2 separate regions of the Mus musculus genome follow, and region 1 is reported to be linked to region 2. Evidence: microRNA targets listed by miRTarBase, many of them from high-throughput screens and not tested one by one. Region 2 holds a microRNA gene; the other region holds the end of a gene's coding sequence.

Region 1 (4,385 bases), not on the chromosome of region 2:
CCAGATTTTATTCCTCTTGAGACAACTATTCTTTTATATATATTTATATATATATATAAAGACCTGGTATCAAATATTTTTTTCCGTTTAAACAGACTGAAGTGATTCACGTATTTTTAAGTATTTTAGAAGCCCTTCCTCCAAAACTCCCAGGGCAGTTTTCAGGTGCCCCTCCATCCTGGCATAGTCTGTGTGAACTAAATCCTAGGAGGATGTAGCACCACACACAGGGCCTTTACTCTTCTCCAGTGGTTGCAAACATTTACTCACCCAAACGCTGAGACGGCACAGTTTACAAACAGCAACAGCAATGCAACTGTAGCACTTGACACCCTTCTTTCTGTTTGCACCTTCATAAACACATGCAGTGTCTACTTTACCCTAAGTACCCCAACGTTTATGTCATAGAGAGACGTGGTTGAAAAGAAAAACTTCCTGTGCAGTTCATCCAATAAGGAGAATTTGTTAAGACTAAATATCAGCTCAAAAAATTTGAGGCAAGCTAAATATTAGCTACAGTCACAGAATACACAGCAACTTACTAGTTCGCAGTCCAGGTTGACTGACCAAAATGCTCCAGAAATCCAACTGTGAGTGGCACGACCTAGGTGAGAACTGCACAACTGGCCTCCTGTGCACACAGGTCAGTTAACTCTCAGACACACTAAAACACTGAGCACACCGTCCTTCAAGCTGTGTGCATAGGGCAGGCCCATGTGATACACAAAGGGATTTTTATAGCTCTAGCTGGGTTCCATCTCTATCTTCCCCCTCCCTGTTTGTATATACATATATATGTATAAAATATAGATTACATAATATATATGCAAATATTTCAAAACATTTTTTTAATCTAAAATCTGAAACACCGCTGGTCTCAGGCATTTAGGAAAAAGGAAACATAACTTTAACACCTGTACTGCACAGGTCCCATATTCAAGCTTCCTTAGAATTAAGCTGGTAAAGGAAAATAAATTTCAGATTGTAATTACATTTAAGCTGCTAAGTGTAGCTTACTCATTCTAGAATGCATTGACGTAACACCTCTCCCAGGTGACAGGAAAAGGCATTTGTAAGGACATGGTGTAAGTGGTTCAAAATGGTAAACCATTGGACAATAAGACAGCAAATTGTAAAATCACAGCAGCAACCTCCAACAAGAAACACACCCTTCCTTACCTACCTAAACCCGACATTGTTTATACATCAGTCAAATTTAATTTTACTTAAAAAAAAAAAAAGGAAAAGGAAACCAGACACGGAATACACATGATTCTCAGAGGTTGGGCTGCATAAATAACAACAGCTGTTCTAGGATGGTGTCAAGATTATAGCAAATGCAACCAATGCCCTGCCCTGGAGCTGGGGATGCAGCTCTGTGCTAGAGCCCTGGTCTCAATATCAAGCCCTGCAAAAACCAAAACTAAATCAATCAACAAAAAAACCTATCCCTCAAGATGTGAGGAACTAATAAAACAGCCTTTTAGGAGACCAAGTCCATCAATAAAAAAAAACCACATCTCTGGCATGTCTTATTTTTTGATTCAAGTTTTCATTGATACTCCCTCTTTATACAAAATTTGTATTTAATATGATAAACTCGGGTGTGAGTATCCAGACACAAGGTGTCATGGAGGACTGAGTTCTCAATGTTACGCAAAGACAGAACGGGTGGTGTGCAGAGGCAAGGCTGAGGACTTGTGGGGCAGGGTGAGGGGAGCTGAAACAGGCTTCTGTCTAGAAGGACAAAGTAGAGGGTGGAACAGTCCTGATCACTCTGTCAGGCAGCCCCTATCTACACTAAAGTGCTTCCAATGCAGGACTTGAAGCTTTCCCCAGAAAATTCAAGAGAACAGAAATCAGAAACTGCCCGATTGACTGGCTCTGAGAGGTTTCTTTTTCCTGACAGGTCAGACAGTAAATACTTTATGCTTTGTGGTAATGGTGGTTTTTTGTTTTTGGGGTTTTTTTTTTAACCTCTAAAATGCAAAACAATTCTTAGTATACTAGCTGCACAAAGGCAAGTAATCAAGCAAACACCAGCCTATGTCAAGCCAGAGAACAGCAGAGAGCAGTTCTCAGATGTTAGCCCTCCAATACAACCCCGCTCCCTGTTCTAAAGTACACATCAAACAGGAAATCAGAGGCTAGAAGGGTCAAAGATGGCTAACCTTCTAAGTGGCAGCTGGTGTCACTGAGGGAAAGTGACTTGCTTCCACCACAGAAGCAAATGCACTTCCCTGTGCCCTTCCACTTCTGACTCTGAACCGCCTCCTCAAATGCCCACGAGTTGGTTTTACCGGCTTCTTCACACTTTAATCATGTGCAAGTTCACACTAGATGGCAGGTGTGCTGTGCTCGAGCCTATAATCACAGCATCTGAGAGGCAGCAGCAGAGGGAAGAGAGTGGGGAGGAGGCGGGCAGAAGGGAAAACCTGTCTCAAACTCAGCCCCACCAAAACCAAAGAAACTTGTGCTACAGTGAGGACCATGAAGAACTGCTGATTTTATGTGACTCGCTCCTTTCCAGGGCATTACTGACAGTGATTTTACTGACAACCACTGAAATGTTTCAGATTTCCAGCTCGAATCCTGGCTTCCTTGTAAAAACAACTCCCTCCTGTGGCTCTACAAATGCTGTGGTGACACAAACCAGGGAGCGAGCAGACAAGGCACAAAAGAAAGTCCAGAGAAACTGCAGGAAGCTTAACTAAGTCTCATTAGGAGCTACGGAGCCTCCTTTCCAAGGCCATGGGTTCACATTACTACTGGGCCAGCACAGGGCTTTGGGGCTCTTCTGAGGCTGCTAGGGACTGGGGACCGTGTGGGACACTGGAGAACAGAGCACACCTAGTCTGTACTCCGGCCAACTCCTGTAACACAACACACAACACCCTACCCTGCTAGAAAGGCTCAACTGTGCCTTTCTGCCATTTTTCCTGTTACTACCCACTGTTCCTATGCCACTTCTTGGAGTAATTACATGTAAGTAAAGATCTCTCTCTCTCTCTCTCTCTCTCTCCCTCTCCCTCTTCCACCATTCCCTCCACTCCTCCTCGCCCCTTCTCTAAGTGTTAAAAGTAGAGCTAATTCTTTGTACTGGGGATTCTAGGAGTGTCCCACAAGCATATGTTTATTTCAAGTTTTTCTTTAGACCCAAACAGATACAGTTAGACTTAAAACAAGTCTCCCCCTCGATTTAAACTGCCGAGAAGACATTCCCTACTCTGAACCACAGAGTTCATGAGTGTCACCTTCTGAAACCCGTGGGACTTGTAACACCATACAGCAGATACACTTACAAAACATTACCGAATGTTACAGGATCAGGTATCATCTGGCGTAATAGATGGCGTTACGCACCAACGCCTGCAGTATCACAAACTCCACTAAATCTAGACGTGCATTCGTGTCTTCTTCCCTATATCTGTCCTCACTTACCAGGACTGAAAAACAAGCATGCTCTCTTTCACTGAAAAACATGAGAGGTAAAAAACAAACAAAACGTAACATTTCCTGACCAGTCCCTAGGGTTTCCTTCTATGCTGCTGTATTTAAAAGCTGCTCTTCTTGAAGTTTACATTTAAACTCCTTCCTGACTCCTTCGAGCAATGCAGGCTTAAAGATGACGTCCAGTGCGGTCATTGCCAGAGCCTTGGCTGTACGCAGCGTGTACAGCTGAGCCGCTTGTGATCCTGGGAGGTGAAGAAAACACATTGAAAACCTCTCTCTAGATCACAGTACATTTATTAGTTCCTCTGGTTACCTCTCAGTATCTAAACTGCCTCTCCACCCTCTGAGCACAACACCGTGTTTTCTGAAGTGATTATATGGGAGAACAGGCTAAAGAGCAGCACTGAGCAGGAAGAGGAGGCGAACCCGGGTACTCACAGCTGGCAGAGAATTCCGGGTACTCACAGCTGGCAGAGAACCCCGGGTACTCACAGCTGGCGCTCACCTGCAGCTTCTGTGTACTGCTCCGTGTGATTCAAGGCATCAGTCCCAATGTAAAAATACGGGTGAATCCCAGGAACCACGAAACTGACATTTCCAAAATCAGTAGAGCCTTGAAACACAAAAGGGAAGAAAGGGGTGCTTGGTTAAGTACCCTGACTGGTGAAGTTGTAACTAGGATCCTGTGCTCAGTCATGGTTCCTGAGCAAGCTTCCAGGAGAGACACTTACTCCCACCTCTGCATTGGCTGAGCTGCTCTAACAGGGATCTCCAGACCTGTCCCTGCCCAGCCCTAAAGCCAGCCCCTCTAGCACCCCACTGGGAACCCTGATGGCTCCTCCTCTGACCCAGGGCTACAGACCCCCTCTCCCGACTGGTTCCTTGAGACTTGATGCCAGTCCTTTCCTCTTTTCATGCCATATTCTCAGATG
Region 2 (4,385 bases):
GAATGGAGACAGAGGGGTAGCCACCTGCAGTGTTGTAGAACAGGATACCCTACGCCTGGATATGGGGGGGGGGCAGCATTTCCCTTGGTCTTCTTCCCACCTACCTATTGTTCTGTGAGCCAAGACCTGAAGTTATACCAAATTGGGTATTAAGCAGTTCCAAGTGTATGGACTTTGACTTAGTTACCTTTGAAAGAAGCAAAGCAAAAAGGAGAATGGTCCACGAATAGCCTCTTCAAAGGTTGCCCAGAGAGTGGGAGAACTGTCAATAAACAGAATTTTTCCTCAGAGCCAGTACGGGCGAGATACCCAGCACTCACTGAAGACCTTCCCAGCTAAGGATCATATTTCAGGGGACTGGGAATATTGGAACAAAACACTGGTCAGAGAGGCAGATAGAAAATCACCTTTCAGGAGAGCTTCATCATGAGAGCGCTTCCCACCTTGCAGTAGGAGACCACTTAGGAAACATATAACATCCTGCCAAGGACAGCATGGTGGGGCTCCAACTGAAGGGAGCAGGCCTTCCCTTCAAAACCCAGAGAGGAGTGAGGTGAGGAGAGGTGGCAGCCATGTGCAGTGTAATAAAGGGGTGCGGGGGGCAGGGGGCGCCAAAGGGGAAAGCCTCAAGTCTGCCAAGCAGCAATCTGACCTTCATTGATTTTTCAGAGGCGTGGTAGAAGATCTACACCATGTGACTTAGTTTGGCCCAGTCTTTTGCTAAGGGAAATGGAGCTAGCACTAGATCGGACTGTGAACTTATCTTGCAGCTGAGTTGAGAAGGGCTACAAGGCCTTTCTTCCCTGCTGTTATCAGAGAGCTGCAGGAGGGTGTCGCCCAGTTTCTGGGGAGGGGAAAAGCAGCTAAAGAATTCCTGATCTCACAGTGACAGGAAAGTGATAGTAAGGAGCCGTTTCTCCTGGACCTCCAAGACCAAAGCACAAAGAAGATTGATTCGTCCCAGAGGGACAAAGGGCAGGGAGTGAGAGACAAAGACAGGAGGGAGAGGACTAGGGAGAAAGGGCATCTGTCCCGGAGTGAGTACAAAGGACTGCCTCTGGACAGAGGAGACAGATGTGGCCCATGGGAAAACAGCAGCTTATAAAGGTACAAAGGGAACCCCGTGTCAGGATGAGGGGTTTAATCTTCACTGGGCATCTTAACTAGGGGACAAAGGGGGTTTTTGATTGCTGGACTTCAATACTGTCTAGCTGGTTCTTGGTAGTCAGCCTCAGGAGGAGGAGGTGCCCAAATAAGGGAATAGACCCTGGTAGCTACCTTTAGGAATGTAACCTAACAATTTTTAGCAAGGCAGAGGGAGTACGGCCTGCCAGAGCTGTGTGGGCACGCTGGAGCTGCCCAGAGCCCCTTCAGTATATTTCCACCCTGAATCCTGTAGACCTGACCGTGACCTGACAACTCCTTACAGCCCACAGCAGTTTTCCTGTGTTCTAAATTGCAACAACCTCTTATCCCAACAGGAGCAAACTGGACTGCAATGCCAAGCAGTGGAGGTGAGAAGAGAGGAGGTATGGGGAGGAGGGAGGATCTGCTGTTAGAAAGTCTCTGGTTTGTGACCTCTAACCTCTGATCCTTCCCACAGGCTCTTTGCCGACATCCTCAACGATGTAGCCATGTTCCTAGAGATTATGGCTCCCATGTACCCAATCTTTTTCACCATGACTGTCAGTACCAGCAACCTAGCCAAGGTAGCCACCTCTGGGACACTTCTGTACCTGAGATACCAATACCATCCTTACCGACGCTGTGTGTGGCTTACCCGGTCCCTGTACTGAAGGAAGTTCGAAAAGGACAAAGTTCATATGTTTCTACTGAGACACAGACAAGTTTTCTGATCCTCTGACCAGACAGCCCTTGTACCTCAGCCAGCCTGTGCAGGGCCATGTTGGAGCACATGCTGGTGAGGGTGCTCTGAGCTGAGAGTGAAGGGTGGTCCAACACCAGAATCTAGGGGCTTGTCATTCTTCAGTAAAGCATCTGTATAGTGCCTACTGCATGGATGACCCAGGCCACAGACTCTCCCATGTTTAACGGAAATGGCACATAATTACACAGATATCTATGGGGTTACAGTTCTGAGCATACCAGGTGAGGAATGGTCTTGGGATGTAGAAAGGCCCTACATGAGGCTGAGTCCTGAAGAAGAGGAGTTTATGTATGATTCCAGGACCAAGAAATCACACACACACACACACACACACACACACACACACACACACACACACACGTACGCACACACATGAGAGAGAGAGAGAGAGCAAGCGAGCAATGGCACAAATCGCCACTGAAGCTGGTGGGGTTCACTTGCCCTCACAGCACCTTCAGATGAGGAAACAGGCCCAGCAGGGTCAGAAAACCCATCACTACAGTCAGGTATGTAGAGCTGTAAAGCCCTAAGACTCAGTACCGGACGCATTACACTGCAGCCAAGCCGCCAAGCCACAGGCACTTTTGGTATTTGGGGTAAAGCAGTCTTTTTGTTTAGGACAGGCAGTAAATGCTGCACACACCTTAACTTCTGCCCCTGATTTTATCATCAAGTTAGGAAACCCCAGAGAAGATACTGCTGGAGCTGGGGACCAGCTGGGGATTGTGACTTCTGGCATATCTTTCAGACTCGGCAGCAAGCTCTGCTTCTGAGACCCGTGTCTGTCAAATACTGTCCCAGAGCAAGGTTCTGTCTTTCCCCTTAAGATCCGGCTTGGCAGAGTTTCAGTCTGTGACCAGCACTCCCTCCACAGCTACAGCAGCCAGAAGCTGGCTGTCACCCTTACCTCCTCACCTCAGTTGTCGCTTTCTGCTCAGATCTTCCAGTTTTCCTCCAGCTTCCCACCGTTCATCCCCCTCTCTCACTGGCAGCCCCTCTGCTGGACAAGTTCCTTCCCAGGGAGTCTGTAGCCCTTTTCACAGCCCAACGCTCTCTTGAAAGTCAGTTGTAAAGGGAACTTTGATTCTCCTGTAGTAACTGTCATGTCCCAGGCTCACGGCGTCTGTCTTCCAACCTAGACCTAGTCCTGAAAGCTCCCAGCTTCCATACAGTCTTGTCTAGGCCTAGGTGTTCAGCCTCTGAGACTTGCTGCTAAAAATGCTCACCTTTTCTTGTTCTTTCTGAGCTCTGACCGGCTGGTTCAACTCAGCTGTTCTGGCTCAAACTCCTCTCCAAGCTCACTGATTCAGTCTGGCTGTTCTCTTAGCCTCTGGCTTGCTCTGCTTGGCCTCAAAGTAACTCTAGCAATCTTTTCTATTCTTCTGGCTCCTTCTTTTAACCCGTGACTGCAGAGCTGCCCAGGTCAGACTGCATCCTCTGTCTGCAGTGCTCCCGTGAGCAGCTTCCCTCTCCTCTCTCTTCTCAGGAGAGTTGGGCAGGTCCCATTCTGTCATATCTTTCCTTGATCTGTCACTTTGTCTGCCACTCAATTAGACATCACTTTCAAACATGGCTGCTTCCTTCTACAAGCTAACTCTATCTTCATTGTCTGGGATTGAAGGCGTGCACCACCACACCTGTACCTAAGCTTTTCTTTGCCTGATACATATGTATGTGCTCTATAGCAGGCTGGCCTTGAACTCAGAAATGTGCTTACCTCTGTACCTTGGGATTAAAGGCGTATCTGTATTCCATCTGGATCACACAGACCTAGAACATCTTTGGATGTGATCTCTGGCCAGAGCAACCTTGTTCTGAATTAAAATTTCTCTAGGGTCAGTGGGCCAGCAAGGTGCAGTAGCCAAACCTGCCAACCTGAGTTCAGTTTCTGGGCTCAACGTGGCAGGAGAGCAGGGGCTCCTGCAGATTCTCCTCTGACATCCATGCATGCGTCAGCACGTGTGTACATGTGCGCACACACACAATAGTAAACGTAGGAATCAAATTAGGTTACTTGCCTGAGCCACTGCTCTCTGGAAACCTTAAAGGCTTCCAGTTTTCTATTTGGAACCAGACTGTTCCCTGCCAGTCACTTGAGCCTCATCTTACACCACTTTTCTCTTGATTTTGAATAAATTAGTTCCTCCACCTTTATAGCTATACTTAAGCTTCATCAAAAACCCGTCTGTCATCATTCTGTGTCTGTCATCTACAAGAGACTCGATGGTCAAAGTTATCAGTGGCTCTAGTTGCTTTCTAGAGATCTCAGGAGAGATGTAAGTTCGTTAATCCAGGGCCACTGGAGTAAGTGTAGATCTGCCTGGAGCGCTCAGTGGAGCTAGGCTGGGACAGGAAGAAGAAAGGACTTATAAGGAGGCAGACTGTAAGCGTGAAGTCAAAGACCAGACTGGACCTTATCGATCAGTCAGAGAGAGAGAGCCAAAGCAAGCCAAGGAGATGAGAGATGTGGCTTTAAAACGACCCCAGCAGGGCACAG

The links. The annotated mature microRNA mmu-miR-3103-3p reads UAACCUCUGAUCCUUCCCACAG and lies in region 2 at 1,582-1,603, shown strand. An mRNA with a match to its seed (bases 2 to 7 or 8) in the 3' UTR can be bound and repressed. Matches are read on the target gene's strand: a 7mer-m8 pairs with bases 2 to 8, a 7mer-A1 pairs with bases 2 to 7 and ends in A, and an 8mer does both.
Region 1: the mRNA of Pm20d2 is a reported target of mmu-miR-3103-3p. Seed matches in the 3' UTR shown: 8mer at 1,974-1,981.

Annotation. Positions count from the first base shown.
Region 1 is chr4:33,170,786-33,175,170 of GRCm38, forward strand. Pm20d2 (peptidase M20 domain containing 2) reads right to left here. Exons shown (of 7, transcript NM_001034867.2): 6 at 3,959-4,066; 7 at 1-3,695. The coding sequence ends at 3,541. Among named protein-coding and RNA genes, the nearest start is that of Pm20d2, 17 kb to the right of the region's middle.
Region 2 is chr7:128,285,588-128,289,972 of GRCm38, reverse strand. It overlaps Mir3103 (microRNA 3103), which reads left to right and starts at 1,538; the gene lies at 1,538-1,604. It overlaps Rusf1 (RUS family member 1), which reads left to right. Exons shown (of 13, transcript NM_145590.2): 4 at 1,482-1,514; 5 at 1,604-1,709.